4 linked regions of the Caenorhabditis elegans genome follow. The protein of the gene in region 3 interacts with the protein of the main gene of each other region in a pairwise test. Each region holds a gene or a part of one and is shown on either strand. Other genes may lie near its edges. The genes, in order: R07B7.2, klc-1, meg-4 and atz-1.

Region 1 (8,454 bases), on a different chromosome or scaffold from region 3:
TGCAAGAATCGAGTTATTTTGACTGTTTGGATCAACTCTTTCTTTGAAATGACTACTTTGATTCTTCTATTGACCTATTCTCCTATATATTTCCGTAAAGTCCTTGACTTTAGTGTTGTCGAAACTGGAATGTTGATATCCTTGTCGGCAGTAGCTCATATGCCAGCTAAACTCTTATCTGGATGGTTATCAGATCGTCAATTCCTTTCTGAACGTGTTCGAATGTGGTTCTTCAATACTTCATCAGTCGGACTTGCTGGATTCATGTGTGTCAGTTTGGCATATATTCCTGTCTCATGGAAGTATACAAGTGTTATTATGTTCAGTATTGTCTACACTTTGATGGGAACAAATTGTGGTGGATTTTATAAATGTGGAACATTTGCGTCACGGTAAGCTTTGATTTTGTTTCACCCCAACCGTACTCATACCATGATCGTAGTGATTTTTTGAATGACAAAAGTGGGTTTAATTTCAAAACTTAAAATTTTAACTGTACAAAAATTGTTTCCTTAACGTTTTCCTACATATTTGTAACTTTAGAATACTCTACCAAAATTAGGACAAATGATTTCGCGGTCGAAGTATTACGAGTTTTCTCTTCAACCGCATGTGGTGTCAGAGGGTCCCATATCGGCTTGATCTAGGTCTACGAAAATTTCGGTATTAAAAAGCAGACTTCTAAACTGATTCCGCATGATTAGAAGCGTGCTGACGTTTCAAGTAAATGAGCACGCTAGTAAATGAGGGTTTGCCCGTGAAATTTTATTGGAAAATGAATTCCCGCATTTTTTGTAGATCAATCCGTAATGAGACATCCTGTAATCACTGCAAATGGATGACAGAATCTTTAGAAAATGCCAAATAACTTTTATTTGAATATAATAAGGGTTGAAACCTGTGAAATTGCTTTGGATTTTTTCAAAAGCTCTTTTTTATTTTGGTAATTTTCCAAAACTAGGAAATTTGGTAATTCTGAGTATTTTGAGTGCATTCAGACAAAATCCTAAGTGGTGATACTCCAACTGTGTCCAAATCCAAAAATTTAAACACTGAAAATTATGAATTCACTGTAAATTATTCTGAAAACCATGCAATTATCCATAAACAAATTTCAGTCAATATGCTCACTTTGTGCTTGCGATGATTCAATTTATGAAATGTATTGCCTTATTTGCTGCTCCAGCAACAGTTGCCATATTTGTATCAGATGAATCATCTCATACTCAATGGGGTCATGTATATATTCTCAATGGTTTACTTATGTTTATTGCCAATATTTTATTCTTTCCAATGGCAACTGATAAACCACAATCATTCACATTTGTCACACGAGAGACGATTGAAGAAGAGAAAAAGAAACATCAATTTGCTTGATTAATTCGAAAAAAGAATTAAATATTACGGTTATGTATATAGATTAATGTCGAAATTAAATTTATATTCCGAACATTTCACCCAATAAACAATTGTTCTTCGTTCAATTTACTTTCTGATTTCTAATACAAACGCAGCACCAGTAACCCAACACTTCCCCCATTCCCACTCAATGTCCCTTGAAGACGCTGAAACTTACATTCAATAATTCCACTGAACACCTAGACTACTTTGGACGACAGAGCTTGAAAAAAACTTTATTATGAGAAAAAAACTTAAAAAAAACAAGAGAAACCATAGAAAATGGAGAAGGAACATTAGGTTTCCAGACATCTGGCAATAAAAAGGGAAACATTAATGAGATTTGAGAAATCGCGTTTTTAAATCGGTGAAACAATGGGCAACGAATGATGAACAAAAAACAATAAAGTTTACTATTACCTATTCAAAAATTAAATCTACTTTTTACTGGGAGCCTTATAGAAGTCTTTTGACCACCTTTTTGCACGACGAGTATCGCCTCCTTGTTCGGCGTTCCATTCCGCTTCGTAGCGCGCTGGAGCTGAAAAACGTAGTTAATTTATAAAGGTTATTTACATAAATTCGAAATCAATAATACCTTTTCTTGTCCTCTTTGATGAAGTAGGTTCTTTATCAATTGTAGAAGAAGGAGTTTTTGAATTTTTCTTGGTCGTCTCATTCCTTGAATTTTTGCGAGATGAGCCCGGTGGAGATTGTGATGGTTCGAGTCGTGCTCTTTTCATACCGGTGGAAATGGCAACAGAAGATCCATATCTTGAGCGCGAGGTATGTGGAGATGTGTCATCTGAAAAATAGAAATAAAATAATATAGAAATAACTTGGCGCATCAGGACTGAGCGACAAACGACGAATTCCGTTCGCCGAAAAAGCCAGATCCCACACATCCCTGGTGTACATTGTGTAACCTATATTTAAACAACTGGTGTTCGATCCTCACCGGTTTCAGATGCGCTTGGCATTGGAGACTCGTTTCTATTTTCAGTTATAGAAATCGCTGATATTATGGATCCGAAATCTTCCACTGGTGTCTCATTTCGCACATCTTGATTATTGATTTCCTCTGTTTCTCGAGCAATCGAATTGACTCCAGATACAGCTTGGTTGACGGATCCAACATCTGTTACTGTTATATTATGTTATGTTATGTTAGGTCGTAATTTATACTTTTATTACCGATGATCGCATCGACAGTATTCTCGATTTCAAGATCAGCCTCAAGCCTTTCGGTTTCTTCGGGAACGATTTGGTTTTCATTAACATTGACTTCTGGCTGAGAAATCGGCGCTGCAGAAGGGATATCGGCAAATGAAGGATTTACATTCGCCGAATTTTGATTTTGTGCATTTTGATACATCATTGCATGATTCCGTTGTTGCTCCCACGCCGCTGAAATTGTAACATATACCTTTACTATAAGTTGCAGAAATTGAGCGAACCGTATTGAGAGTGTAGAAGCATCTGCTGCTGCATAAAAACATCATATGGCGGCATGAACGGAGATTCAAAAAAAGAAGATGGAGCCGCGGAGTTATTCATATCTAAAACGTGTAATTTCTCATAAGTAGTTTAATTGACTATAATTAGAGGTAGTCAAAATTTATACTCACGAGATGGCATCATTCCTGGATGCCAACTCATCATGCCAGCCGCAGGTTGACCGAATGGGCGAATGAAATGATTATTTTGCCAATCGGGTCCCTGTCCTCCCGAGGAATTCGGCATTGATGGAAACATCCCTCCGACCCCTGAAAATTAATTAATTACTATCATTTACTAATATATATATATATATAAAGCGCTTATTCCGTTTGTCCATAGTTTGTAGTCTATGTAGTCTTTGTAGTCTGCGAAATTTTAGCTTCTGGAGGGATAGTGAGTTGAGGTTAGTGTAAGGATATAGTCGGGTTACTGTAGTGGTACAATAGTGATACGGTAGGAGTACTGCATGATTACGGTAGTTTCAGAAACATTAGTTTTTAGCTCCAAGAGGTCGGGAGCCGCGCCGGAGGTGCGGTCCACGGCTGGTCAATTCATAAAATTATTGAATTCACTGATTTCTGGTGGCAGTGGAAGACAAATTTTGAATTTCTTCATTGTCTGTTAGAATAAGTTTAGCCGAACACGAAACTGAACAGAGCCAAGTGCATTTTTAATATAAAATATTTCACCTCCAAACAAATTTCTAGCATTATGTGGTTGCTGAGCCCCTCGCATGTCTTCAGCCTGATTTCCTTCTTCTTGGGGAACAGGAAATTGGGACCGTTGTTGCTGTGAAGACATACTTCCGAGCAAGCCAGATGATGAACGAGCAAAATGCGAAGATCCATCATGTCGAGTTGGGAATGATGAGCATCGCTCTGAAGTTACTTTTTTAAACGAGAAGCAAAGTTGATGGTCTGACTTACGAGAATTGATCATTTCAGGGAAATGACTTTCCATTGTTTCTTGACTTGCTGGTGGATTAACCTGTGAATGAATTGACTGCATGCTGTTTGAGTTTGTTTCTGTAAATTACTACTCTCAAAATAATTGATTTATTTTATATTAGTAAGCTCTATTGCCAATTATACCTTCTCTCTGTTCCGTTTGATGAAGTCTCGAATGGAAAAACGATTGAGAATCGGCATCATTGAGACTGGTCTCATTAATTCCAATTTGTTGCGAAGCTTGTGGCATTTCAGTTTGTTCGAGATCCTCTTGACGAGCTTAAATTTAATTTTATGATGAGTATTAGAAATATTTTCAATATTTTGCGGACATATACAAGAGATGTTCCTATTTTCAATGTATGCACCTGAGCGTAGGACGAATTAAAATATGGGAAAAAGTTCGAATATTAAAGTGGGTTACCTTCAGAATTTTGCAACGGATGACTCGGCGGCACAGGCGCGGATTGCTGATCTGGTGGAGGAAGCAACTGGAGTTGTTCAGGTTGCTGGAGATAAATTGGAAATGCTGTCCGAGCTTTGATGGGCCGGCGAGCTTGAAGATGTTCCAAAAGTGAATTTGCCAATTTTTCGATTAAACAAGATTCTGAATTTGTACCGGCGATATTGGTTGCATGACAAGTTTGTGTTGTTCTGTTCGCCGTTGAACAAATGGCTTCCACCTCCTTATCCTTTGTTTGAACCTCGTATTGGCTTGAAGTTTCCACAGCCGTGATAATTTCTGATTGGACATATTGATCTCTTGTTGGAGCGTGATGTTGGCTCCAGGCATCAGCAACGTCGACTTCAGATTGTACTCCTTGATCTTTTGCGAACGTACTTTGATTTGCATAAATATCGGAAAGTGAGGAAAAAGGCACACGTGTTGATCCAAACAAGTTCCCAAAACTGCGACGTCGTCCAGTTTGTTCTGTGTTATCACCGTCAGAAGCACTCATCTGAAGCGTTATAATGATTATTAATTTATTAAAAATCAAATGAGGGTTTGTGAAATGGTTTCATACAAAATTCCAAACAAAAATGTTCCTAAAAACTAATTTAGAAAATAATTTTCGTTTGGCGAATTATTTACAACGGATATGACGCAACTCTGCGTACTTTTACCTCGGCTACAGTAACCCATTTCGTTTTTCAAAACATATTTAAATACACAAAAGTCCTGGTCTGTTTTCCTGCATTAGTTCGCATCATAATTTAGGTATTGTAGAGTTTACGAATGCGATCTTTGGCTCAATAATACCTAAATTTTGAAAAAAGTTTACTTTCAACCCTTTTTAAAAATTATATTGTGTTTCTGTACATCCTAATTACCGATGCTCCTTTATAAAATTATAATTGTCTATAAAATCATAATGGTATTATTTCACGCCTTCTAGAGAGTATAATTAATGAAATTAAATACCGGAAAACACATTAGACAAACGTACCGATTAAGATTTATCACAGAATAAAATTGTTAAGAAAGTGTCTATGACATGAACAGAAAATTTCAAAATAAGTTCACATTTTGCAACGTAGTGTTGCGATTTATTTTTTCAAACGAAATTTCAGTTTTTCAGTTTATTTCCCAAAAGAGACCAAACGACATCTTGCTAAACGCAAACATATTTTTTAAACTCTCTGTGCATTTCCATGACTTAAAAAACACGTTTTCAAAATGGCAATGGTAGAACATGAAAGAGAATAAGAACATTTAAGATTCAGAAATATAAAGTTCATCAACATGATACTCGCGGTTTCGGCGTCTTTCACGGAATCTGGCAACATCTTTTCTAGTAATCACACCACGAAGCTGAAAAACAATACTAAAAAATAAATTTGGATAATGTTCGTCCTCACATGATTATCATCGTTCACCACAAAAAGGTATCGAAGTCCAAGTCCACGGAAAAGTCGGAAAATGAATGGAAGAGATGTGTTCAGTGGAACACGGTGCGGATGAGGATGCATGTAGGGCTCAATGTCCAGGAAACATGACTCGTCGAAATTTGTTAATCCGAGTTCAGCAACAGATTTCATTTGGCTGAAAATAAAATATATAACAATTGAATTATAATATTTTCGTAGTATGTTGAATACCAAACAATTTCTGTTTTAAAATTCGTATTTTATTCAATATAAATCACTTACTCGTCGTCATCCTGGCATTCATAAAAATCATTTGGAAGTGCAGAGTTTGAAGCTCCTTCTTCCTCGAAAATTCGATTTTCCAGAAGTTTGAACAGTTGTGATCGCAGAATATAACCTTTCAGGCGTCCATAATCAGGGAGTGATTCGTATGGCGATTCTTCGATTCTATCTACTACTGGAAAGCCATGATGAAGTGTGGAACGAAGAATTTCAACGATTCTGGATACTCTTTCTCGCCGTTCTAGAGCCACAACATCTTTTCGCATCACGCGGCTGAAAATTAAAAAAAGATTTTCGAATTGTTACAACAAAAAAACCAACTCTGCCAAAATGTTTCTGCTCATCTTTGGTGGATTCCAACCAAGAATTGGAACTTCTGCTAAATCAATATGAGCATCATAAAGTCCTTCATTGAACATATCTCCAACCCATTTTGTTACCATCAACACCAACATAATAGGTAATCCAAATGTAATATCTTTAGTTGCTTCCATTATAATAGCTGTTAATGAAATTGTCATTCGAACAACGCCTCCGAGTTGTGCGGCAGCTCCTGCCAATGCGTATTTTCCTGGATCAATTCCAGTAACCGAAGGGAAAAGTCGTTCAACAAAAATTCCAAACAGGCGGCCCCATGCTGCACCAGTAAGAATAGCTGGAATGAAGACACCAGAAGGTACAGAGATTCCGAACGTCCAGAGAGTGAGCAAGAAATATTCAATTCCAAAAATAACAAGAGTTGTGACACCAAAAGAATCTGAAAATATTTGGATCTTAAATGTTTTTGAAAGATCAAACTTACTTATCGGACTATGAAACATACTCTTCACACTTTCTTCAGGATTTTGAAAAAATAAAGAAGCTACTGCAGAATATTCTCCTTTTTTGCACCACATTTGATTGATTTGTGTTGATGTTGCTGTAGGATTCGCTCCTATCGGCTGACAATCGTCAATTGCGAATATTGTGAGGAAAGCAAGAAATCCTGATACCGCGGCAACAAGAAGACATTCGAACAAACGACCCAGTTTGCTGCTCACATATTTTTTACGGAACTCGGTGAGTTTTGTATTTAAATAATTGAATAAAGCTCCAAGACAGCCTCCAATTATTCCAATGAGAAGAAACAAAGGAATTTCCCAAATATTATAATCCTTATTTTCGAAAACTCCGAAATTCGCGAGACCTGTCCATGAGAGCCATCCACTACGTCCATTGAACCAACTGAGAATCCAATTTACAGTGAATGAAGAGATCATTGCAGAGAAAAACATTCTCCATGTCAAAGCTTGATTCCAAAAGCTTGCTCCTTCTTCTAAAGAGAATAGAACTCCTCCGATTGGTGCTCCGAAAGCAGCAGCAACTCCAGCAGCAGCACCAGCAGAAACGAAATCTCTTTTTTCTCGATCATTTCTAAACTCGCGGAAAAGTCCGAAATCGATTCCAAGGGAATAACTTTTTCCCTGTGATATCCCAGCTCCTACAGCAGCTCCAGAATGGATCATAGGACCTTCTTTTCCAGCACAAAGACCACCGCCAACCGAACATGCAACTCCAACTGCTTTTGAAACGAGCGTTTTGAGACGAACAACCTGGAAAAAACGAAAGTTTCAGAAATTTTTGAGCTGGAAATGACACCTCAGGAATCGCAATTCCGTTAAGATAACACTTTATTTGAGGAATTCCAGAACCTCCAGCAATCGGAGCTACATAAATCACAAGGATTGCAGCTATAGTTACGAGAACACAATTATATCCTATCCAAGCTATCATTACGGTCCACATACACCCTGCAGTCGTTCCACGTTGCTCTTCGCCACACTTTGAGAGCACTGAATGTTTCGTTTTCAATAGATTAGTTAGATAAGTATAACTGACAATATTTGAGAATCCAGTTAAATTTGATATCTTTACTGTAGTGTACCATAATATCAATAAATGCAGCGACGAGTCCAGTGAAAACTCCAATCAAAAAGCATACAAACCAACGATTTCGAGAAATTCGCCAAAGAGTTAACTGAAAAGTGACATTGTTACTGTATCTATGAAATCTCAAAACCTGGTGAGATGGTTTCTTTTCAGCATCTCTATAGAGTCGATTCTCAGATATTTCATAGTTCAGACTTTCGTATCTAGCAGACAATGCTTCATGGCTATCCGTTCGACCAACATCATCCAATTGCCTTGAGAATAACAGCTCTTCCTCCTGAAATAACTTGATTTTCAGAAAAAATTGCTGGTTTTTGCCCGCACTAGTCGTCTTCTTTGCCGAGCAACGTGTTCTAGATTCGAGTTTGACATGACTCGTTCTAGCCCCGACACAGGATCTTCATTTGGATCCAGACTGAAAAATATTATTTCCGAGAAGTCAAGTGATATTTAGTCTCTTACCTATTAGAACTTGTTCGCACCCTGTTACGGGATGTCATCTGAAATGTTGAAATAAATCCAACTGAAC
Region 2 (7,348 bases), on a different chromosome or scaffold from region 3:
AGATGCTTCCGTTTGAATTGATGTTCGGATGATAAATTCGAGTGGTGAAGGCAACCTGAAGAAAACAAATTAAATTTATTTTTTTCCAATTTCGATCAATACCTTTGGTGGTTTGAATGGATAGTCTGTTGGGAAGTGGATAGTGAGGAAGAAGACACCTCCCTGATAGGGAGACTCTGGTGGGCCCATAATCGTAGCTTGCCAATGGAACAAATCATCACCAACTGGTCCAGCGGAGCATTGTGCGGGTGGATCACGGCCGAGATCTTGGAGTTCCTGAAACGTACATAATAATTTTATTGTTGTTAAGTGTTGAAACCTTACCTTCTGGATTCTTTTGAGAGCCATGTTGGTGTTCTGATTTGCTGATTGACCCGGCTACACCCGGAGTACTCTGAAAATAAATTTCGATAAATACGGTGAAATTGAGCTTCTGCTATAGGGAAAAATTGAAAGTGAGGATTTTCGCATGAAATAACATAAAGAGTACGGCGCGGCGCGGCGAAAAATCGATATTTAGAGGCGGTACAAAGTACTCAGTTTGCCCTTCGTGGTGAACTGTTACGTCACATTTCGAAACTAGTGGAACATTCTAGAAAGCGAAAAATGAGGAAAAATAGAACAGATATAAATTTGAAAACCAAAATAACATAAATTTCGGAAATTTCCTAATAAAATAACTAACGATGAGAAATGATGACAAATATGACACATTTTTACGGCTACAAGCCAGTGACACTCGAAAAAAATTTTAACGCTTAAAAGAAATGGACTGGAATATTACGCACAAAAAGCAAGCGATTCAAATCTTGTAAAATTTTCTTCACAATGAATCGAGACTGGGCAAAAATTAAAATTCAAGACGTATCACAAATTGTCTGGTTAGTTTTTTAAAAAACTATTCGGCATGTACGTATTATTTTCTGATTGAAACAAATGATTTCCAGATAATCACTCTGAAATCGACTAAAGACACGCGACTTGTCGCCTCACGAGATGGTGAGGAAGGAAGAAATGGCCATAGGCTGCGAGTGAGTGAGAATGTGTGCTGTCTGTGAGTGAAAATGAGCGACGGGGTGAGCGCTGAAGTGTCAGAACGACAGAGACAGAAATAACACAGGAAACGTAAGAGGGTACGAGGCAACGATCGATACGCAGCGCCATGGGTCTTGAGACGACCATCACACTCACTGCAATGCTGCAGTCGCATCGCAATGGGGATTGAAAGCGGAGAGAAGTGAAACTATAAGCACTTAGACACGAAACGCAGAGAGGTAGAGATATCTAATGACAAAGCGAGAGAGTGAGAGAAGCAGTTGATCATGTGATTCCACTGATTCAATTCAGTGTGGACGTGAGTGAACTTGCACTTTTCTGATGGTTACTAGATGACTGAAATTTGAACGCGGAATTTATAAAATTTTAGGACGAATGAACTTGAGTGTGTTTTCTTATTTCGTGCTATATGAGTCACGTGGGACAACGAAAACAAAGAGGTATAAAATAGGCCAAATCATACTTCGGAAGTGACTTTAATTTTGAGAAATAAGTTTTGCAAAAATGTTGTTCAAATTATTGATCGAGCACTAAATTCCCTAATCACTACTCACATGTGGAGTTGAAGTTATTTTTAAAATACGAATTCAGCGAGGAAAACCTTTAAAAAATTGGAAACAAGTACAACAGAACGAACTACAGAAGTTGGAGCAGGAAGAAAAATAAGGAACATCGCAAACGAACTGAAAAGAAACTGAAGAAATTAGAAGAAAATGAGTAAGAATGATGGACCGCCCTTGTTTCACAATCTGTATTTTGCCGCGTTCGAAATGGCGCCAAGAGATATGGAAAGCTCTTCCAATCAAAAAATATTTTTAAATGGCATACTGCTTGTCTATCCCATATTACGTTGAAGGTATTAATAAAAACAACAAAAATTTTTTAGAAAACATTAAAATAATCGAAAATTCACATTAAATTACGAGAAATTGTTGTGCAAACTTGAAAACAGTTGTTCGAAAACCCGCCGATTGTCAGGCTGCTGGATCTCGTGCTACCGTAGTCGGCACACCTGCACATCTATCTCGTCGTCTTTTTGTTCAATTGAATTCAACGCATTGAAATATTTCATTTTCATGAAATTAAATTTCATAAATTTGGTTTTGTTTTGTGATTTGTTTTTATTGTTTTTATTGTTCTTAAATTTAAGAAAAATTAACGTTCATCATCCGTACGAGACAATTTTCAGGGCTTCTCATTCCTCTAACAGTGATGGTTATTTCCTTGGGTGACGATATCACAACTGTCTTAAAGACGGTCCAACAAACGTTGTTTGCATTGCGAGATGAACACGAGGCTGCAACAAGGATATTGGAAGCTAATTTAATTAGTAAGACGATTTACGGAATGAGTACGAATAAAGTTTCTATCAGATTCAGACTCATCCGAACCTTCTTTGCCCAGTGAAAAGATGGGCTTGATTGATGAAAGTCTTGGGAAAGTTATGGATGGTGGTGATGAAGCATCTCTGCTCATCATGATGGACAAATTGATGCAATCATACGATGTTCAACTGTCAAAAAACCATGAAAGTATTAGGCTTCTGAGACAGGAAAACACCTGGCTTCTTGATGAATTGACAACCACACAGAGGAAGCTTCAAGAATCGGAGAGGACTGTCGCGCATTTGGAGGAAGAAAGGGATCACTACAAGTTTCAAGATTCCATGAATTACCTGAACAGTGATTTTGTAAGTCATTTATCTTGTGATTGGGATTAAATAACGCGTTTAGCAACACACTACCTCCGTCGATGCCACGCCCATGATGGTAGACACTCTACAGGAACTTGGATTCGGACCAGAGGAAGAGGATCAGAACAACAGTAAGTTTATTTGTTGTGCTACGAATTATGCTTGTTTTATCTTGCAGATCAAGCCGATCAGGGATGTCGCTCATCGTCTTTTTCCAATCCTATCAGTAACGATTACCAATTACCGACTCGCCTGCAAACGTTACAAAACCTGGTCATACAGTACATGGAGCAAGGTCGATTTGAAGTTGCGATACCGCTATGCAAGCAAGCTCTGGAAGACGTCGTGAAAGTTCACGGGAATGTTCATCTGGATGTTGCTACGATGCTCAATGTTCTGGCAATAGTTTACCGAAATCAAGAAAATTTCAAAGATGCTGCGATCTATTTGGAAAAAGCTTTATCCATTCGTGTACAATGTTGTGGAGAGAACCATCATTCTGTGGCGGCAACGCTAAACAACTTGGCAATCGCTTATGGAAAACGCGGAAAGTACAAGGAGTCTGAGCCTTTGTGCAAACGAGCTCTCGAAATTCGGAAAAATCTTCTAGGACCCAATCATCCGGATGTTGCTAAACAGCTCACAAACCTCGGAATTGTCACCCAACAGCTTGAAAAGTATGAAGAAACAGAAAACTATTTCAAACAAGCTCTGTCAATCTATAATCGTGCATTTCCGGAAAATCATCAAAATGTGATTAAGACAAAAAACCAACTGGCGTCTGTTTTCTTAAAGCAAGGAAAGTATCAAGAGGCTGAAGAGATGTACAAGAACATTCTCTCGAAAGTTGCTATCACCGGAAACAAACCAATATGGAGAATCGCTGAAGATCGCGAAGAAAGACAGCGAAATGGGATTCCGAAGGTTGACGATGAATCCTTTAATGTGAACCCGACAACTGTGATGGATAGGTTATTGCCTTTAATTAGTTTATTAATGATTACATTGTTATGTTTCAGCAATGTGATGTCAACTATAAAGAATTTGGCAGCAGTTTATCGTAAGCAAGGAAAAGAGGAAGCTGCAGGGACGCTGGAAGAAGCTTTAGGTGCGAAAAAACAAATCAACGGAGGAGCAGATCACACTAATTCTACTGCCTCAAGTGTTGAAACTTCAAGCGCCGTAGCTATTAATCCTGCTCAAAGTGGGATCAAAAAGAGAATCATGCATTTTGTCGGATTAAATTTCTGATTTCACATCTTTTCGTGATAATTTAGTTGCCGATCCCCTCTTTACGTTTTCCATGTCGCATACTCAAAGCCTTATTTTTGATATTTATGTATGGTAAATTAATTCGTATTAAATAATTGATGAGTTAAATATAGAGTTGTTTTTCATGGAGAGCTAATGGAACTGTACGCTTTGAATAAAGTATTGTCTTTAAAGTCCAATTCGTATTCTATGTGAAAAAGAAAAGTTCATTATTGTTTAAGAATTAGTTGAAAAAACAGCAAATCATGGATTTATTAGGAAAACCGGTGAGATTTCACCCCGAAAATTATTGAATCGTCGAAAATATAGACTAGACTGCATATCCGTTAAGTCGAGCCGAGTCGCGGAGCTCTGGAAAAGTTGCCATGGAAATATTATAACGCTCATTTTGTTATTTTTCTGCTCATACTAGGCAGAGAAAAGAAAACGAACTCAAAATTGCGTGATGAATCTTTTTGCGGGCACCAATTGTGGAAACTCCAATGTCCTTCAGATTCTGCTCGTCGAGCAGCAAAAAAGCATGCATGTCGATCTAAAAATTATAAAATACTTTTATTCAAATGTGCATGAAACAAACTTCCTGATCTCTCAACTGAGTCATGTATTCACTGCATCCAAGTTGTGCAAGAACCATGGAAGGATCCGTGAAATAATTAATATCCCATTGTAGATTATATGGAAGTGAGTTCGAATCGAAAACCGACGTTGATGCAGAGAACACTTCAACTTTTGAAAATAAAACTTTAAAACCCTTGAGAATTCAAACCATTTCTAGGTGGTTGTTCAAAGATTCTAGACATTCCATAATTAGTGGATGAAGCTGAAAAATCAGAGAGCTCTTCATCTTCTTCTCGTACACTACAAAGTCCCCGTTGTGAATGATTCATCATTGGAGGACCATTTGTGGATGGCTACAAGTATTTGATCAAATTATGCAACTTATTATTTCATACTTACTTCATTAGTTGATAAATCCATCATTCCTTTAAGTAAATCAGCTGGAAGAGAAGAACTAAAACCATAACCTGACCATAAATCAGTTGGATATCTTGGACTTGATAGAACTGAATCATCAAAAATTGCCTGCGTTGCTTTTATAAGCATTTCTCCTCGATCGGCTTTCGATTTCTTTTTCCAAATATCGCTGAAAATTTAGATTTTTCTTGGTTTTCTTGGTTGGTCGAATGTCGAAGTTAGTCTTAATTCAATTAAGTTAATTACATCCTATCACTTGTGTAATATTTGCCTTTTAAATTTGAAGTATCGTCCGTGGGGAATAAATCTACATATTGTTTTCCTACTTCAAAATAACAGAATATCATAATAAATCACTACAACATTTTTTAGATTTGTCATAAAAACTTATTTAAAGTTTTGGTAAGTTACCAAACTTTCCAAAATTATGAACTTTGTGAGAAATGTCGAGCATTGCAGCATACGTTTTATATTGATATTTGGAAATTTGAGCTGAAAAGAAGCTGTTTCAAACAATTTTCCCCCAGACAATATTGTGACAAAAAAACAGAAAAACCAAACTATGCCGAGAAAAGCAGAAAAACCAAGATACGGTCTTATGGTAGAGATAATGTCCCTTAAATGCAATATGTGTAAAGTACCAAAAAATCTTAAAAGTTAAAAAGTAAAGGCCTTTTTGAAGTGATTTTTTTTTTGCATTTTTTCTTTTTCTATGTTCTTACTAATAGAATTGGCCGAATTAAAAACATTTTTTAAAAAGTCAAAAGTAGTTTGCCGCCCGTAACCTTCAGATTTTCCTTACCTATTTTTGCTAATATCCTTTGCTCCTTTCAAAATCGAAGCCGCGAGCGGAGAGTCCTCTGGATCTGGAGATTTTGGAGATTCAATGGGCGGAGTCAAAAATACTCGTACTCCAGATGCCATTTCAGTTTGCAAAGGTGTTAAACTAGGTGGTCCTGCAATTTATTATAAAAATTAAACATATGTTTATGTTCTCAAAAATGTTTCAAGTGAACTAACTGCTCATCACAGGATTCGGATCATAATCATCAGGAGATGAATATGTTGTTGGTGGTAGAGCTAACAGTAATTCACGAGATTGAAGAACTTCTGCTAATTTTGATTCTGTTGATTTCATTGTTATGGTCTGAAATATTCAATTTGATTTCCAAAATTGTAATCACCATAATCCATTAATCACCATAATATCCCCGTTTTTTCGTTTACACGTAACTTGTATTCCTCTTTCTTGTTCCAATTGTTGAACTGGATAATGAATATCCATCATATTACAATCAAATTGAACTGTCACACTTGAAAGACCCTTCAAAATTTTCTAAAGTTATCTACAATTTTTGAAATAAATTCTCTTACAATTAGTAATTTTCTAACATTTAATACTCCCGATGGAGGACCAACAATGGAAATTGATTGTGTTTCTGGAAATGTTTGAATGGTCACGTTGTTCTTGTTGCACACTTCTCGGAGCCTGAAATCAAAAATATTTGATATTGGTACAAATTTGTTCGCAAGTATAAATTTATTTGATTCAGTTCTCAAAAGCTTAAAATTGTTGTTAACTATTTAACTGGTCAATTTTTGAAATAATCCCCTGGGTAAACGCAGTCCAAAAAAACTTCAAAAACTTCCAAATTCCAAAATTCCAAAATTTTCAGGTGTTCAAAATTGCCAAAATTAAGTAAAAAATTCGAGAATTTCTAAAACCCCATAACTTTTAAATTGTGGAACTTTCAGAACTTTTGGACATTTTTTATTCCAAGTTTTCTGAATGTTCCAAAATCCAAAAAAATCCACCACTTTCTGAAAATTCAAAATTTCCCAAAATTTAGAATTTTTGAAACTTTGATATTAAATTTTCCGAAATTAAGAAATTTCGAAATTCTAAAAATTCCGTAAAAATAAAGTTTTGAAAACTTGCCATTTTACCGAATTTTGCCAAATTTTGAAACTTCATGGCAAACTTTTTTAAATAGCAAGTATGTGGGTTTCCAAAACATAAAAAACGATTGCATATTTATTTTATTAATTAACTTATTTATTTCTGTGCACAAAATCAAAATGTAAAGTAGGCAAGTTGGAATTTTTTTTGCCTACTTAAAAACCTCACATTCTTTCTTTGAAAATTTCCCACCACATTTTTTCCTGTAAATAAGTAATTTCAAAAAAGATTTACCTTTCCCGATGCTCCTCTACATTCTCCAATTGATAATTCAGTTCTTCTCTGGCCAAAACTTGAGTGGAAATGTTCAAATATTCTTCTGTCTGAAATAAATTAAAGTTATAAGATACTTCTTGAGAATTCATAAACTCACTAATAAAAAGTGATGTAAA
Region 3 (8,813 bases):
GTACACCACGTAGAGTAAGGTGCCCTGCCTAATTTGTAGGAAACTATAGAGAGGGCAGAGAAAGAGACAAATGAGAACGGAAGGGCGAGAGTTTCTAGCTCCAAGTCAAAGAATCAATAAGTAAATTAGCTCCAAAGCTCTAGAGTACAATAGAGAAAATTGCAATTCACAAATCTTTCGGTTTTTAGGATTTCTAATGATTTTATCTAAACATCTTGGTAAAATTACTTAAATCTGGAAAACTTGGCTCTAAATATTTACTCCATTTCGACAAAATAACTGGGGCGGCTATCACTAGTTGGGTGTCGTTTCCCTCAAGAACTTCACTACCAATGAGTCCTAGAATGAGTGTACCGTAATAATAGAGATTGCTTCAAACTGTTTTTGAACAGAACAGCAGACCAAAAGACCTGAAACGTGTTGGATTCAGAAAATCCAAGAATAGCACAAGAATAGCACGAGAGCAGCGAGAATTGAATACTGTTTGGGGGTTTATTATTGTGACAAGTTTATTTTAAAACTTGTGGGATTAGGCAATGAGAATCGGGATTTGAAACATGAAACAAGAAATTCAGAAAGTGGAAAGTAAAGGAATAGTTGAAAAATGGGAACATTGAATAAAGGGGGGAGGGGAAATATAATAAAGGATATGAAAAATGAAACAGTTATATAAACAATTATCAGTCAAATGCCATTCCGTCGAAATTATCATAAATGTTCATGTCCTTGTTGACTTCGCAAAAGTCTCAGAATGATTCGAGGTCGCAGACAATTTTATTCACTCTGAAAATATAGTATTATTATGACATAGGCTCCTACTTGGAAATGATCCAAGAAGGCTACTGGCGCAATTCTCGTGAGCTTTTTTAATGGTATTTTGGAGTCGGTTTAATGCTTGTAGTTTTTAATTAGCTAACGATTGTTCAAAATTGAAATGTTTCAGTTTTGGGCTAATCTTAAGCGTTTATCTGCTTGATATCTTTTAATTAGACCGAAGTTTCAAAATTTTTAATATTTTTTGGCAGTTTGGTATTTTTATAGGACGCTACTATGTATCTAATGTATACATTATTCCATAACCTTATTCCATGTTATTATAGATTTTCGAGAAAAGCACTTACAATGTGGGATTTGCATTAAAGATATTTTTCTCCTCGACTTGCCGATTCTTACTCTGAAATTAATTTCTGAAGGTTTTCGAAACTTTTTTGATACAAAAACTCACCAATTTACCATCTTGAGTCAGAAGATTTTTTGTAGACATTCGGGGTGCGGATAGCAGAAATTAAATTTCTGAAAGTAATGAAAATTAGCTTCTTGAAACTAATATAACTTTAAAACTCACCACACATACAATACATAAATTTTTTTAATTTGTTTTAATCCAGAAAAAAATGGTGGTGCCAGCCACACAAGCCGCCGCAGGAAGACCAAATGATACCTCCGGGAAAAAATTTTGATAAGAAAGTAGAGGAGCAGAGAAACAAAAACAATGAAAAAGTGTGTAGCGGACTGCAATAAAATTTTATATTAATGTAGAGTGACACACAAAAAGAAAAAGATGCTAAACAGTTTTCCTTCGAACTTTAAAAATATTTTAGTTTAAAAAAAATTTGAAAAAAAATCAAGTGTTTTTGATGGTTCTGGTGTTTCATTTAAATGAAACTATACTGTTTTATTTCATCAGGCTTAGGCTTAGGCCTATGCGTAGGCCTATGATTTGGCTTAGGCCTTGGCGTAGGCTTAGGCTTCGGATGTAAGCGATATTCTAGAAAATTTTGACTATGATAATTTGTCATTTTGGGATCATAGGAGTAGTTTTTAACAATTTCCCCTTTGGTTTTTTTGGATTTGGTCTGGCATGCTGCCACTGAAATGAAATTTCACAGGAAACACTGGATATCTAAGGCCAGCACTTAACATTGTTTTCATTCTTGAAAGCTGAAATCGCTAGTCAAATAGCCATCCAAGGAAAACACAACAAGTTTAAGGCGGGAAATGGCGCAAGTGGACGTTCAAAGAGAAGACCTTCAAATGAAGTTAGGCAGGCAAGTAGGCATGCCTATCAATAAAAATGTAGAGGGTAGTATCTAGTAGTATTAAGAAAACTTAACATTCCTATCCTTATAATCAGTAATTGCCAATTTGGATTGTTAATAACTTTTTATATTTCAGAGTCAACTACTAGAATTCTATTTATACGCGCCTATACCAATTTCCTCTACTGTGTTTTTCAGTACAAACGGAACCTTCGCTATCGTAGCGGATAAGTCTGAAGCATCGCTTTTGAAATTGAATCCGTGACCACTTTTTTGCCTAACTTTTACAAAAAGCCAAAGAAGAGACATATTTCTACTAATCAGTTGCCAATTATATACCTATTTCAAACATTCGCTTTATTGAAATTCAACTTTGAATTTTGAATGAGCAGCAGTCCTGATAACAATAGAAAACTACCCGTTACAAGTTCCTGGGCAGACCATAAATAAATTCACAAGAAGGAGCAAGTTGGAGTATAAAAAGAGTGGTTAAAAGGTCAATGAACAAGAATAAAATACAAAATACTCGACATGAAATAGATATATATCAGTACAATCATTGATCTCTGGGTGGGTCAAAAATAGATTCCAGCCATTCTCGTTTTGCATTCAAGTATCTGACAGGATCCGATTTCCGAAGATATACAAGGAGACACGCATCAGCAATTGAGATGATATTCTTCTGTCCGATACACTCCTTCCACAACATGTAGAGCATATTGGTGGAATCTGTGGAGCTGCTCGTATCGTCAAGCCGAGCCTGAACGAACTCGAGAGCAATATCTTTCTGAACTGCAAGGTCATTTGGATTTCCTAAGCAGGCTTCAGCAAACCGGAGAAACCATCTTCTGAATATATTTCGCACAGGTGGAACCCTTGGATCTGAAAAAATTTACGTTTTTCAAGATTAAATATGTCTTATCTTTCTTACCATCGGCATAAGGACCATCCAATCTTGGAATTGTCTCGGTGCAAAAATAATTCAAGTACAGCCATCTTTCAGGTGACATCCCGTGAATATTCAAATTCACTTTCAAGAGTTGTGTCTTCTCTTTGTAGTGAGCATCAATATAATCATTGAAGTCTTGTTGAGCTTCCAGGAATGCCGTCAAGCTATCAGAAATACGAGGTGGTGGTGAAGTTGGAGGTGCATCTTGAGAAGAATCTTCGGTCGGGTTGGCTGACTTGCAAGGGAGTGGGGCAGGCTGACTGAAAAAAAAATTAATTGTACTTGGAAAGTATGTTACAGAAATCGAATCAAGCTGTGCGGCAAAAATTTATATATTCTGAGGAAATTAAATTTATTAGCGGGCTCGCAATTCACCGTTTAGTAATTATAATATCAAGTGATTAGACTGGGCTCCAGGGATGTGTGGAAAATCTCAAAAGTTGCCGAGCACTACTAAATTTTTGGCGACAAAATCCATAGCTTTGATCAAAATTGTCTGAGCTCGGCAAACGGCAAATTAGGCTAATTCGGCAAAGTTGTTTCGGCAAAACCGTACAAATTTGCCGCACACCTTCTGGGCAATAGACAAAAGCAGAGGGCTTTTTGCGGAGTTGTGCAAGATTAATGCTCTATTTTTTTACTCGAGAGGTCTAGTCTTGACCTCAATCTACTCAACTTGCACATTATTTTCCATATGTTTGATCCACGATTTTTTGAGAATTCAGAAATTTATATAATACGAAACTCATTGCGAATTTATTGATTTGGGCCTTACCTGGTGGCTTCAGAGGACCATCTCCCGGCTTGGTTGTTCACTTCAGCCATACGATTATCACAATTGATTCCACTTCTTTTCGGAGTTGGGCAACCATTACAATCTATGGAAACTGGATTTCCGGTACAATGAGAGCTGGAAAAGAACATTTAAAAATGTTGTTTGTTCTTTGTAGTTCCATACCTTTTCAGTCCATCAAGCCCTGGAGTCAACTTTCGAGCGATTCGGTTTCCTGAAGTTGCTTCCTTCCCAGAAACCGTGGCGGAGTACATTGGTGACTTTGTGAGTTTCGAATCAATCATGCCAAGTGACTTGTCAATCTTTGAAGACCTGCAATACAAACATAATGAAAAAAGCAGCTCCAAGTGTAAAACTAACTTGTTGGATGCTGTCAGACATTTTTCTCCGATCAAAGCCTTCGGGCTTGTGATGATTGACAAGGAAGGTGTTCTCTGATCCTTGCTGAAATTCAAACTTTTACTAAATACTTCACTTTTTATCACTACATACCTTGAGAAAGCACGTTTTGTAGATTTCGGCTTCCCAGGGTCCCCATGAAGTAAACGTCTCATTTCCTCAACGTTGGCATCAAAAGTTCCTGTCCACTTTCTTCTTGAGATCTTTGGAGGAGAACTCGGATGTGGACTTGGTGTGGGTTCGACATCTTCTTCTACAGTCTCCAGCGTCACGTCAAGACTGGCGAGACGGGACGCACTACGAGAACTTCCACGACGATGTTTCTGCACTGAAGTTTTCTTCGAAAGATTTTCTGGCAGGGTTCGATTGTTTACATCCAGAAAACTGGAGTCGAAGTCTTCACCAATTGAGCAATTTAGATCACTTCTAGCTGGTAATGTCCGATTCAAATTGCTGCATTCTCCGTGAGAACTGGAAGCTGAGTGCAAGTGTTGTCCGATCTTCATGCTGACAATTTCCAGTAACTGTTCCACAGAAAGTTCGGTGCCGTCCTTGCTGAACACATTGGATTTCAGATTACGTTGAGCAGCTCCTCTGGAAGAGTTCAGTTTCTCCGCCACTTGACTGCCAGCATCCTTCGTTCCGCGAGACTGTTGTTGAGATTTGTTAGTGACAGATTTTGGACCGTTTGCAACACCATTGGAATCTTCTATGAACACGTCGTCAGACAGTTCATTGTCATCTGTGTTGTAGAAAGCACGATCCTGGACATTAGTGCTCCCATGTGATCTTCTTCTATCGTTTCTTGATCCTTCTTGATGATGCTTCCTTGTTAAAGCTTCATTAATAGTAAATCCGGAAAAGCTCTGGTTCAAATTCCGCGGCTTGAAGACATCATGCTGTTGGCCAAAACTAGAATTGATCGAATTGATAAGCTCATTTCCAAACATGCCTCCATATCTCTTGTCCTTGTGATCTCCAGGAGCTTGAACTCCAGCTTGAGCGTTGAAGCTTTTATTTCCATGAAGTTGTTGGTAAGCCTTGGTTTCTTGTTTCTGGAACCCAGCTGGAACGGAACTCCCACTGAATGACACATTCCCAGCATGGCCATGATTGTTCGATCCATCCGAGAAGCTTCGGCCAAGTTGTCCATTCGGACGGCTTCTACTGTGCCCTGTATTTGACTGCTGAGTGTTGTACTGATAAGTGGAAACTGACAAGTTCCGTTGATTCCAGCTGGAGTTATTGCGTGTCTGCGAGTTTTGACGGAAGTCTGCAGAGAACACGGGGGCCGTTGGAGGAATGCTCGATGAGTTGAAGACGTTTCTGTTAGCTCGAGCTGCATTCATCGATTGATTAATCGAGTGATTCAACTGGTCGCCGTTCATGGAAGGATTCCCGTTAAAAGACACGGATCCGTGGTGAGATCTGCCACCATATCCACGGCTTGTTGACTGAACACCGTCTTGCTTTACGAACGAATAAAACAATTCTTCAATACTAATGTGGTGTCCCATATTTTTCGATGCACTTTCCAAATTGCTTCGACTATGAGAGCGGTGACCTGAAATTACAAATTGAAGAAAAAAATTGATTTAAAAAATGCTTACCTTCTCTGTTTCCTCTGGAGTTTGGCAGATCACATGAGGAAAGCTTTGAAGAACTCATACCTGCAACAAAAAAAACTTAATGAAATATTACAAAATGTAAAAATGTAAAAATGTAAAGAAAATAATGAGGGAGAGAGGAATTAATGAAAACCGGTGGGACCAAAAAGCAAGAATGGAGACCTGTGAGTGAGTGAGTGCGAGAAGTGAGAGAGTGAGAGAGGTAGAGAAAGAGAGCGCGAAATAGTGTGTGGGGAAACGGTCAGGGGAATGCATGCGCGCGGCAAAAACACAGTTAAAATGCGGCAGGGGTATTACCAAAACAACACAAAACGTTTGTATGGTACCGGCTGTTTTTCAAGAGTATTGGAGGTTTGAGGAACAGTTGAGTAAAAAGTCGGATATTGATAGTTAATTCTCTGGAATATTGGTGACCGGAAAGATAATCACTGAATAAAACACGAGAAGAAGAAAAATAAGGAAAAATCTTTGGTTCCGTGTACTTGTTAGTTTAAAGGTGGAGTAGCGTTTGTGGGTTTTTTGTACCTTAATGACAAAATAGAGTTTCAATGTAAATATCGAATAAAACTGTAAAAAAATTCCGAACATTTTCTTTGAAATTTTATGATTTTTTTCAATTTTGCAAAAAAAAAGGGCCGAATTATTTTTCAATTCCAGCGCAAATTATTGACCTGATCTTTGACATTTTTCTTAATATTTTCTTTGATTTAAAACTTAAAACTTTAATTTTTCACAGTTTCATACATTTTTCAGTAATGTTTCAGTAAAGTAAGTTAAAATTAATACTGAATTATCGATTTTTAGACTAATTTCAGCGTTTCCAAGTGAGCAGCCAATTTTCTTTACGGAAAAATGTCTGAAAATGTGGCAAGTAAAATTTCAAATTATGACACAAAGAAAAAATGAAGAAAACTCAAACAGTTTGCCACGTGGGATCAAATGAAAATCTTGAGGACTGTGGTCGATAACTTCTGCCAATTAATTTTCTAGACTGTCTCATGTTTCAATACCAAAATGAAATCATTAAATACTGCCAGGTTGCCCCACGTGGCAAAATTTTTTTTTTTTTTTTTTTTTGGTTTTTTTCTACAGGTCTTGCCTGGATAAATGCCGTATGTAAGCTGTAAGACAGTGGAACGAACACTGAATTCCCATTTAAGGCTGGAAGGACCTAGGAGGTGGGGGTCGAACTTGTGACCTTGTGATTGCAAGCAGCGCGCATAGGCACTGAGCCATGCACCCCCCGGAAGCATGAGTCACTAATAGGGGTGGCTATAGGTCGACCTAGGTCGACCTGCGACCTAGAGGGTTAGGTCGCATCGCGACCTAGGTCGCATTGCGACCTGCGACCTAGCGACCTGGGTCGCTTTGCGACCTGCGACCTAGCGACCTGGGTCGCTTTGCGACCTGCGACCTAGCGACCTAGGTCGCATCGCGACCTGAATTACCGACATTTTGTTCTCTTTCGGTTTTGATTCACTTGAGTTGTTAAAATCCGTATAACTCGAAAACTAAAGATTGCAGAATATGTATGATATATTCCACTAACATTTTCTCTATTAAGATTTTATAAGTTTATGCGTAGTTTTTTTTCAAAAGTACGGAACAAAGAATTCATTTCTACAAATAAAACCATGCATTTCAGCAAATTTTTTCAAAAAGTTCACGTTTTTGTGGTTTTTGTTGTTTCTAAAATTTCATTTTCCACTTTTCGAATTAAAAACGTAGAAAAAAGCAGCAAATCCGGCGGATGTCGGCTGTTCTAACTTTTTTCGACAAGGTGTCTTATGGATGAGAAATCGAAAACAATGTAAAATAAATGATTTGTAGCAATTTGTTAGTATAAAAATTGTCGGTAATTCAGGTCGCAATGCAGTTTTCGAGTTATACGGATTTTAACAACTCAAGTGAATCAAAACCGAAAGAGAACAAAATGTCGGTAATTCAGGTCGCAATGCGACCTAGGTCGCTAGGTCGCAGGTCGCAATGCGACCCAGGTCGCTAGGTCGCAGGTCGCAATGCAACCCAGATCGCTAGGTCGCAGGTCGCTAGGTCGCAGGTCGCAATGCGACCTAAATGAAAACAGCGACCTAGCGACCTAGGTCGCACTCTTGCCACCCCTAGTCACTAATGAATTATATGAAATCGATCGCCGGAGAAGCTGCAAGCAGCATACAAAGGATCTTTTTTATTTTTTATTTTCAATTGATCTCTCTAGAGTGGCTTTTCTTATAAAATATTGAGACTTTTCCAAAGTCTCTATATGCGTTGTAACCAAAATTCCCAAACTGCCAAGCAAGTATTTATAATGAGTTCAAATTCGAAATGGGGAAATTGTTTTAAAACACGCCTATGTTACCACAATGACCGAATATCATGATAAAAAATTTTCTAGATTTCATATGATTTTTTGAAAATTGCAAAAATCTCAGTTTTCCTCTAATTCCTATTCGAATTTCCGCCGAATGAATTCGTTCGCTGGAGCGCACTTGCATTATTTTTATTAATTTATTTTATTTTTTCTCATTATTACACTGATTTTCTTCATTCTTTGTGTATTTTTATCGGAAAACAAGAGAGAAGATAAATGCAAATTATTTATTTAAAAATAACTGAGAATGGGTGAAACTGTGAAATAAGCTAATTTCAGGCTTGCTATCGTCGGAACTCATAATTTTACAGTTTTACCCATTTTCAGTGATTTTTAAATAAATAATTTGCATTTATCTTGAATTTTTCTCTCTTTTTCCGATAAAAATACACAAAGAATGAAGAAAATCAGTGAAATAATGAGAAACAATATAATAAATTAATAAAAATAATGCAAGTGTGCTCCAGCGAACGAATTCAATTGGCGGAAATTCAAATAGGAATTAGGGGAAAACTGAGATTTTTGCAATTTTCAAAAAAATCATATAAAATCTAGAAAATTTTTTTGAATTTTTTATCATGATACGTAAATATACAACACTTATTGCTCACTTTTTTGTTTTAATTTTTTGTTT
Region 4 (6,684 bases), on a different chromosome or scaffold from region 3:
CTTCAATTTTCTGTTTTTTGGGCCGTAAGGTTTAGGAAATGAAAGGTGGAGACTGGGGGTGATTGATAGGAAGTCAAAAGAAGATGAAGTGAGTCAGCAAACTTGTTTGGCCCTTGAGTAATATTTGTGTATAAGCTGAGGAATTGGATCTCTTGCTCATTTGTTTTTGAAAGGAATCCGTACTTGTAAAATAACATTGAGACAGTGTTCATCTCGTAAGTCTTGCACTATATTTTTCTAGATTGAAGTTTATAAATTGGTTGTCTTTAAAATGTTTGAAAAGAACCTGGAAATACAGTACCCCAACTTTCAAAATTGTGATATTCTTGGGGAAACAAACGATCAGCAACAAACTGCAATTTTCGATTTCCAAACATGTAAAAAGGTTAGCCTTCTAAATATCAGTTGAAGTATGTAAAATAGATCTCCTACCCGATCGAGACTTATCCCCTTCCTGTCACTTCCTGAAACCTCCATGGAACTGTTGCCTTACTGGAAAATTTTAAAAACCATATTTGCCACTTGTTTTCGCCAACCAGTCATGCTTCCGCAGCTTTATTTTATTTGACATTTATGTCGACATGTGAACTTTTGAAGGACTGTAAACAAACCCACACAGCTCTAATAACAATCCAATTTTGAACTCTGATTCAATATTTCCATATGAACATTTTGTATTTAATACTTTAGGTTTAGCCAGGGTCAGATTCGAGTGCTGTTCTAATCTTAGCAAATTACAATTCCATAGACTATTATTTTCAGATGCACTTTTCCTAGAACATACAAAAATTGGACGACTCTCGTTTTGTTATCAATAAAATTGATTTGTGGTTTCAGTATTGCTTCTCGTGATAGATAACAAGCGCCTGGAAAGAAGTGTTAAAAAGTTCTAGAGCCACAATTTGATACCAAAAATGTTTTATGTTTTGAGAGAGCAAGTTTGAGTTCAATTTATGTTAAAGTTTGAATTCCGGGAGCGAATACTTCTGAAATTCTGAATTTAAGTTTTTTTAGTCACATCTACATACATATCGAAAGCGAGGAAAAGCGATCTCTGAATGAACACAAACTCCGAACAAAGATGGAATCACATATTTCATTCAACATGTGGAAGAGCGGTATCAATTGACTGCAAATGTAATTTCTGGAGAATACCTGCCATACAAAAGTCAAAATCTGACCGTTTCCTATTTCAAACGATTGCATAATATATTTTTAATTTTTTACACATGTATGGAAGTTTAAATGAGTAAAGGAATCCATAAAATTTTTTAAACGGAAATTTCATGGCACCGAAAAAAATTTGTTAGGAAAATTATTTGCAAACATAAATCATTGGTTAACCTAAAAATAGGAAACGCCTAAGATTGGGTCATCAAATTAGAGTTTTGCGGTAGCAGTAGTGTATCTGACCTCTAGATCCAAAATGTTCCAACAAACAGTTGTTGGAAACCTTCCGTTTGATCGATCCACGTGGTTTTCTTCTGCCCATTTCCGGTGAATTCTTTTTAAAAATCTTTATAATCTTCTCATTTCGTATTTACTTTCATTTTGAACTGTTCACTGATAACGAATTTGTCCCAATCAGAAGGTAATCAGAAATGGAATCAACTCCATGAATTGAGAAAAATGCGATGGGTACAGAAAGCAGTGGAGTTTCTGCAGGAAATGTTCAATTGAAAATAAACGGGCGGTGCGAACTCGATTGGTCTTTAGATCAGCTAGAGGAGTATTTAAGGAACAATGCTACAGTTGGTTCAAAATTGGACAAACTTTTGTTATCGGAAAGGAAAGTATGTAAGGAAGACACTTTACATTACGGGAAGTTGACTACAGTAGTCTTTTACGAATATTTTTGCAAACAATTTTTATAAACATAATCGATCAGCAATTATTTAAAATTTCAGATGATTTCCATCTGGATTCTACTTATATCTCTGCTCCTCACTGTGAACAGCCGGACAATCGTAGTCTATAATAATAGATGCGTGGGCGGCAAAGTATTTAAATGTGGATGATGATTGGAGAAATGGAAAGATTTGGGCACGGACTGGATGTGATGGAGATTTCAATTGTGAGACTGGAACTTGTTTGGTGAGTTTTCCGTAGTTTGAATGTAACTTTTTTGAAGTCTATAGATCTATACTTTAACAGTGTATCATTTTGAAAGTATAAGTTTCTATGGAAGTTTTGAAACAAATAAACACTTGGGGATATTTGATCAAAACATTTTGAACAATTTTTTAAGTTCAGCCAAAAAATTGTGTAAAAGGGAAATACGAAAAAGTACTTTAGATGTTCTAGAATATCTGAAAGTCGTGAATTGTCAAGGACGTACATCATTTTTTTTTTGATGAATATTCCAAAATCTATTACCAAAATACATTTTCATTTTCGGGCAAATTTTTGGTCTTTTTTCTGTCAAACTCTGGGCACGTTTTACGGTCGTCGAAACTATATAATCTTTTTGCCAAATTTTTGCTACTTTCTGCCAAACTTTGGGCAAGCTTCTCAACAGTAAATGTTGACAGGAAGTTTCAAACGTTTCGCAGAATTCACACGCATATACTGAATAAGTTTCAAAACATCCGAAATTGGGAATACCCGAAGTCTTGAAAAAAAATGAAAAAGGTTTGAGAGTTTTACACTTTTTCCAGAACGCAGAACAATGCAATGGAAGGACAGGAACTCCACCCGCATCTGTCGCAGAATTCAATTTGAAATCTTGGGCTGGAAGAGACTTTTATGCAGTTAATCTAATCGATGGTTACAATCTCCCAATGTTAATTGATGGGTTGGGATGTCAAAGAGCCGGTGGATGCATCTCTGATGTAAATGCTGCATGCCCTACAGAACTTGCAGTGAAGAGTAGTTCAGGTTACACTGTTGGGTGTAAATCTGGATGTCTTGGATATGGAACTGATAAGGAATGCTGCCGTGGGGAGTATGATTCTCCAGATAAATGCACAATGAGCTCTACAACGAAGATGTTCAAGAATGCATGTCCAGGTGCATACACTTATCCATTTGACAACTCAACAATGTTCGTGTGCTTGAAACCTTCGTCGTATACCGTTCAATTTTGTTGAATTTTTGAATTTTTTACCAAAAACTTAACTGAAATTTCTAGATAATTTTTTTTTCGAATGAACTATTTTCGGTTTATTGAAAGTTTTTGATTCTTGCTTCACTGATAACATGAGAAAAAAGATACAGTTATCTGACCAATCAACTATTTAATTCGGCGTCTGTCATGCCAACTTTTTGGTTAATATTCACAAAAAAAAGTGTTGCAGAAAGTTTGTAGCAGAAAGAAAATGCCTAGAATACAAGTTGGTAATTGAAATTGGAATAATGTCTGTCACCTATTTTTGATTCAACGTTTGGTAAAAAGAGCTTCAGATATTGAAAACTAATGGAAACTTTGAACATGACACCTTTTTTTACCCAAAAAATGTAAAAATGCAAGAAAAATATATTAACTAAAGTTCTGACTATCAATGACCGTTCTTTAGGTTTCAAAAAATTAATCCAGATAATTTTCACAGCCACAGTTTAGGTAGTACTGCCATTTCTCTTGACAATGCATAACATTTTAGGTGGCCTTTTACAAATTTGAATATGCATTTAGCTCATCTAGTTCACTAATTACCCTTTTTAATGAAGTGTTTCATTCCAATAAACGTCTCCTATGACCTAATCTCCTTCCCTTCGAGACCATATAGAGAGAGAGAGAGAGAGCAAACATAGTATGTCAGACAATGATGACGTGTCTACCTCTTGGAAAGGTCAACTGCTACGGTAGATACCATCTATTAGCAGTGCTCCTCTTCTTGTCTCATTTCACTCGCACAGGTCCCTATCGACTGGTTGTCACCCTTTTTCTGTCTGTAATATTCAAATAATGGCTTCGATCGAACTCCGCAATGTGCAAACCGAGCTTGCCGCGAAGAACTTGCAATTCAAAGTGCTCACTGAAAAGTTTTTGGAGCAACGAAAAGAGCTTTTCGATGCGAAGAAGACTGATTCGAATGTCGAATATGTGGAATGTTTGAGTGAGAAATTGAGAGTTGCCACGGAAAGAATTTCGGATCTTGAAAAGGAGACGAAAGAAGGAAAACAAGTAGCAAATGAGGAAATTGGTCGATTGGAGAAACTTTTGAGGGAAGCACAGCAGAAAAGGGATGCGAAAATTGATGAGTGAGTTTTTAAGAATTTGAGTTCCTAAAATTTATCGAATTATTTTTTCAGGTCATATCAGACATTCTTGAGAATCGAATTACTTGTGGCTAACCTTGGTGAGAGCACAGATCCTGAGAATGAAAAACGGTGAGTTTCGGAGCCTACCCAAGTTAAAACGCAACGCCTCTAAAGTTGGGTCTCGTTAGGTATTGGCGAAGGCAAAATCAGAAATTCAAATTTTTTCAAGAGTTTTTCCACTATTTCTATGTCGAAACAAATCATGTAAAATACACGAGAAACCCTTATTCAAATGCATCTTTAAAGACCATTTCGACATTAAAATCGATAATAACAACAAAAACGTTTGAATTTACGAGTTTCCTGCCAATACCTAATGAGACCCATCATTGGAGCGCGCTTGTGCCTTGATGATTTCAAAAAACCATTTTTTGCGTCCCCATAATAACAAGCACAAATGCAAAAAGTAACACTTTTCAGAATCAAAAATTTGATGCCAGCAGCGAAAACTGGTATTCCACCAGAGGGTGTTTTGAGATTGACGATTAATGCATTGGACAGTGCTGCTAGAGAATCCAAGAAAAAGACGATGGCCATCGAGAGCCTCACGAAACAGGTCGACGATGCGAACAAGCTCACTGAAGTCTATATGAAACGGCTTGAAGAGCTGGAGGACAAGCATCGATTCGAAGAGGCGCTCACGTTGAAGATCCAGGCGATGATGATCGAGACGACGGGGCAGTTGGAAGCCCAGAAGAAGATCATTGCGGATCTTCAGAAGAAGAATGACGATCTTATGAAAGAAGAGGAAGGGGAAGAAGATTATGAAGAGGAGGAGAACTACGAGGTTGAAGAAGACTTTGAGGATGAGGAAGAGTATGATGAGGAGGGAGAAGAGGAAGATTACGAATAAAATACATACTAGTTTCTACTTTTTTATTTTACTGTTTGTTTTTTCCTTCGTTTCATAAATTTCCAAATGTCAAATCTTTTAAAGAAATAATTTCAAAAATTCAGTAAAAACAAAACGAAAATAACGCAAAATCAACAACAACAAAAAATAAAATTGATTATCCTTCTATTTGAGACGATCCAGAATGTGTTTCTTTTTCGGAGCCTCGTCATCCACTTCCGGTGCTTCAAAAACTTCCTTCTCCACCGCATGTTTCTCCATATTCCGTTCCATTCGAATCTGATCCTTGACAATATTCTTACGAGCCTCCATCTTCCAACCACTCTTCTTGCTGCGCATCTTGTGACGTGGCGTATATTGAACAGCCATCGGACGAATGTAGAGAATCTTCTTTCGTTCTTCCTCTTCCAACTCGAGAAGTCCCTCATTGACCTTGTTAATGTCGTCTGGGTTAAGACTGATGAGCTCCGGTTGAATCTGAAAATTAGAATTTAGTTAGCATTACAATTTTTGCAAAAATTTTTTTCGCTTGCCAAAGAAGGGTCTTCTAAATTGCTGTAGTATAAGAAAACTCCGAATTTTCCGTGGAAAACTTTTGTGAAATTTAGAACCAAGTAGTCTGAAATAAATTTTCAAAAAAAATCTCATTTTTTTCGAGATTGAACATAATTTTGTAACTAAAGTTTTCATGAAATATAGAGAAATCAAGATTTTTTTGGAGAAAATTTTTTAAAGGTTTCTTTTTTATTGGTGAGGTGCTTTCGATTTTCATGATAAAATCATAAAAAATAGAGTTTTTGACATCCAGACTTCAAATATCAAAATCGAATAAAATAAATTCCATACCTTATCCAACAATTGTTTGATTTCTCTTTCCTTTCTCTGTGATTTCGTTTCGTACGGATTAGATCTGAGCGTATCAACGTTCGGATCTCCTGCCCCTGGCACCAACATACTCGTGAATCCGCCTGCGTGTCCAATTCCGAGCACATCTTCCCATGGAACAAATCGTAAATCAGTGACCACACCTCCACAATTGTGCACCAAATACGGCTCTTTACACGTCCCATTATGCATTCCACGGAACACTTGTACATGGTTTCCAACTGCACAGGCAACGTTCATTTTTTGAGAAATTGCCACGTTCGACACTCCAAATGGTAGTGAATATGCATGAAGTTGACGGAACATTCGAACATCCCAAATACGACATTTCCTGTCGAGACCCGTGGTCGCCATATAATTTCCCTGATCATCAACAGCAATTCCTTTGACTGCGCTCAAATGAGTCAAAATCTTGACAAGTGGTTCTTTTGAGTTGGGAGACCACAAGGACACGGTTCCATTTGTGTGTCCAGTGTGAATAATGGCATTTGCCGGATTCTGACACATCACATCAAGAGTTCCAGATTTCGTTGCAAACGAGGCAACTTGTTTTCCAACAGACACATCCACGTAGTTAAGGAACGAATTTCGCGAAGAGCCGACGAGCAGAAAATGATGGGGAAGAAATTCGAGGCGAGCTGTGTCGTACATGGTTTTCAGGCAATGAAGTTCTGTACCCAAGTTGT

The links.
Region 1: the proteins of meg-4 (region 3) and R07B7.2 interact in a two-hybrid assay, tested with the Caenorhabditis elegans proteins (2 studies listed by BioGRID).
Region 2: the proteins of meg-4 (region 3) and klc-1 interact in a two-hybrid assay, tested with the Caenorhabditis elegans proteins (3 studies listed by BioGRID).
Region 4: the proteins of meg-4 (region 3) and atz-1 interact in a two-hybrid assay, tested with the Caenorhabditis elegans proteins (3 studies listed by BioGRID).

The regions. Positions count from the first base shown.
Region 1 is NC_003283.11:12,054,944-12,063,397, forward strand, and holds R07B7.2 (PUM-HD domain-containing protein), read right to left. Parts: upstream 4,807-8,454; 5' UTR 4,805-4,806; coding exon 4,270-4,804; intron 4,125-4,269; coding exon 3,990-4,124; intron 3,924-3,989; coding exon 3,825-3,923; intron 3,777-3,824; coding exon 3,588-3,776; intron 3,165-3,587; coding exon 3,027-3,164; intron 2,958-3,026; coding exon 2,856-2,957; intron 2,806-2,855; coding exon 2,584-2,805; intron 2,543-2,583; coding exon 2,357-2,542; intron 2,204-2,356; coding exon 1,997-2,203; intron 1,940-1,996; coding exon 1,836-1,939; 3' UTR 1,619-1,835; downstream 1-1,618. Other genes in the region: F10C2.7 (Major facilitator superfamily (MFS) profile domain-containing protein), read left to right, coding at 1-392, 1,119-1,377; clh-6 (Chloride channel protein), read right to left, coding at 5,560-5,658, 5,706-5,889, 5,997-6,269, 6,318-6,753, 6,799-7,588, 7,635-7,828, 7,875-8,013, 8,056-8,202 and 2 more.
Region 2 is NC_003282.8:11,081,860-11,089,207, forward strand, and holds klc-1 (Kinesin light chain), read left to right. Parts: upstream 1-1,875; coding exon 1,876-1,912; intron 1,913-2,245; coding exon 2,246-2,386; intron 2,387-2,429; coding exon 2,430-2,746; intron 2,747-2,789; coding exon 2,790-2,880; intron 2,881-2,927; coding exon 2,928-3,720; intron 3,721-3,768; coding exon 3,769-4,000; downstream 4,001-7,348. Other genes in the region: let-70 (Ubiquitin-conjugating enzyme E2 2), read right to left, coding at 1-55, 103-276, 325-348; bcc-1 (SAM domain-containing protein), read right to left, coding at 4,332-4,372, 4,454-4,553, 4,599-4,741, 4,788-4,932, 4,979-5,165, 5,799-5,952, 6,017-6,143, 6,198-6,320 and 3 more.
Region 3 is NC_003284.9:1,679,991-1,688,803, reverse strand, and holds meg-4 (J domain-containing protein), read right to left. Parts: upstream 5,851-8,813; 5' UTR 5,849-5,850; coding exon 5,791-5,848; intron 5,745-5,790; coding exon 4,274-5,744; intron 4,226-4,273; coding exon 4,142-4,225; intron 4,094-4,141; coding exon 3,947-4,093; intron 3,899-3,946; coding exon 3,764-3,898; intron 3,249-3,763; coding exon 2,971-3,248; intron 2,922-2,970; coding exon 2,596-2,921; 3' UTR 2,385-2,595; downstream 1-2,384. Other genes in the region: C36C9.11 (Transposase), read right to left, coding at 747-783, 1,122-1,174, 1,226-1,264.
Region 4 is NC_003282.8:12,373,274-12,379,957, reverse strand, and holds atz-1 (Protein atz-1), read left to right. Parts: upstream 1-3,836; 5' UTR 3,837-3,904; coding exon 3,905-4,200; intron 4,201-4,251; coding exon 4,252-4,329; intron 4,330-4,680; coding exon 4,681-5,113; 3' UTR 5,114-5,277; downstream 5,278-6,684. Other genes in the region: wdr-46 (WD repeat-containing protein 46), read right to left, coding at 5,279-5,590, 5,960-6,684. UniProt on the Caenorhabditis elegans protein: Plays a role in meiosis, germline development and oocyte morphogenesis. May play a role in DNA replication.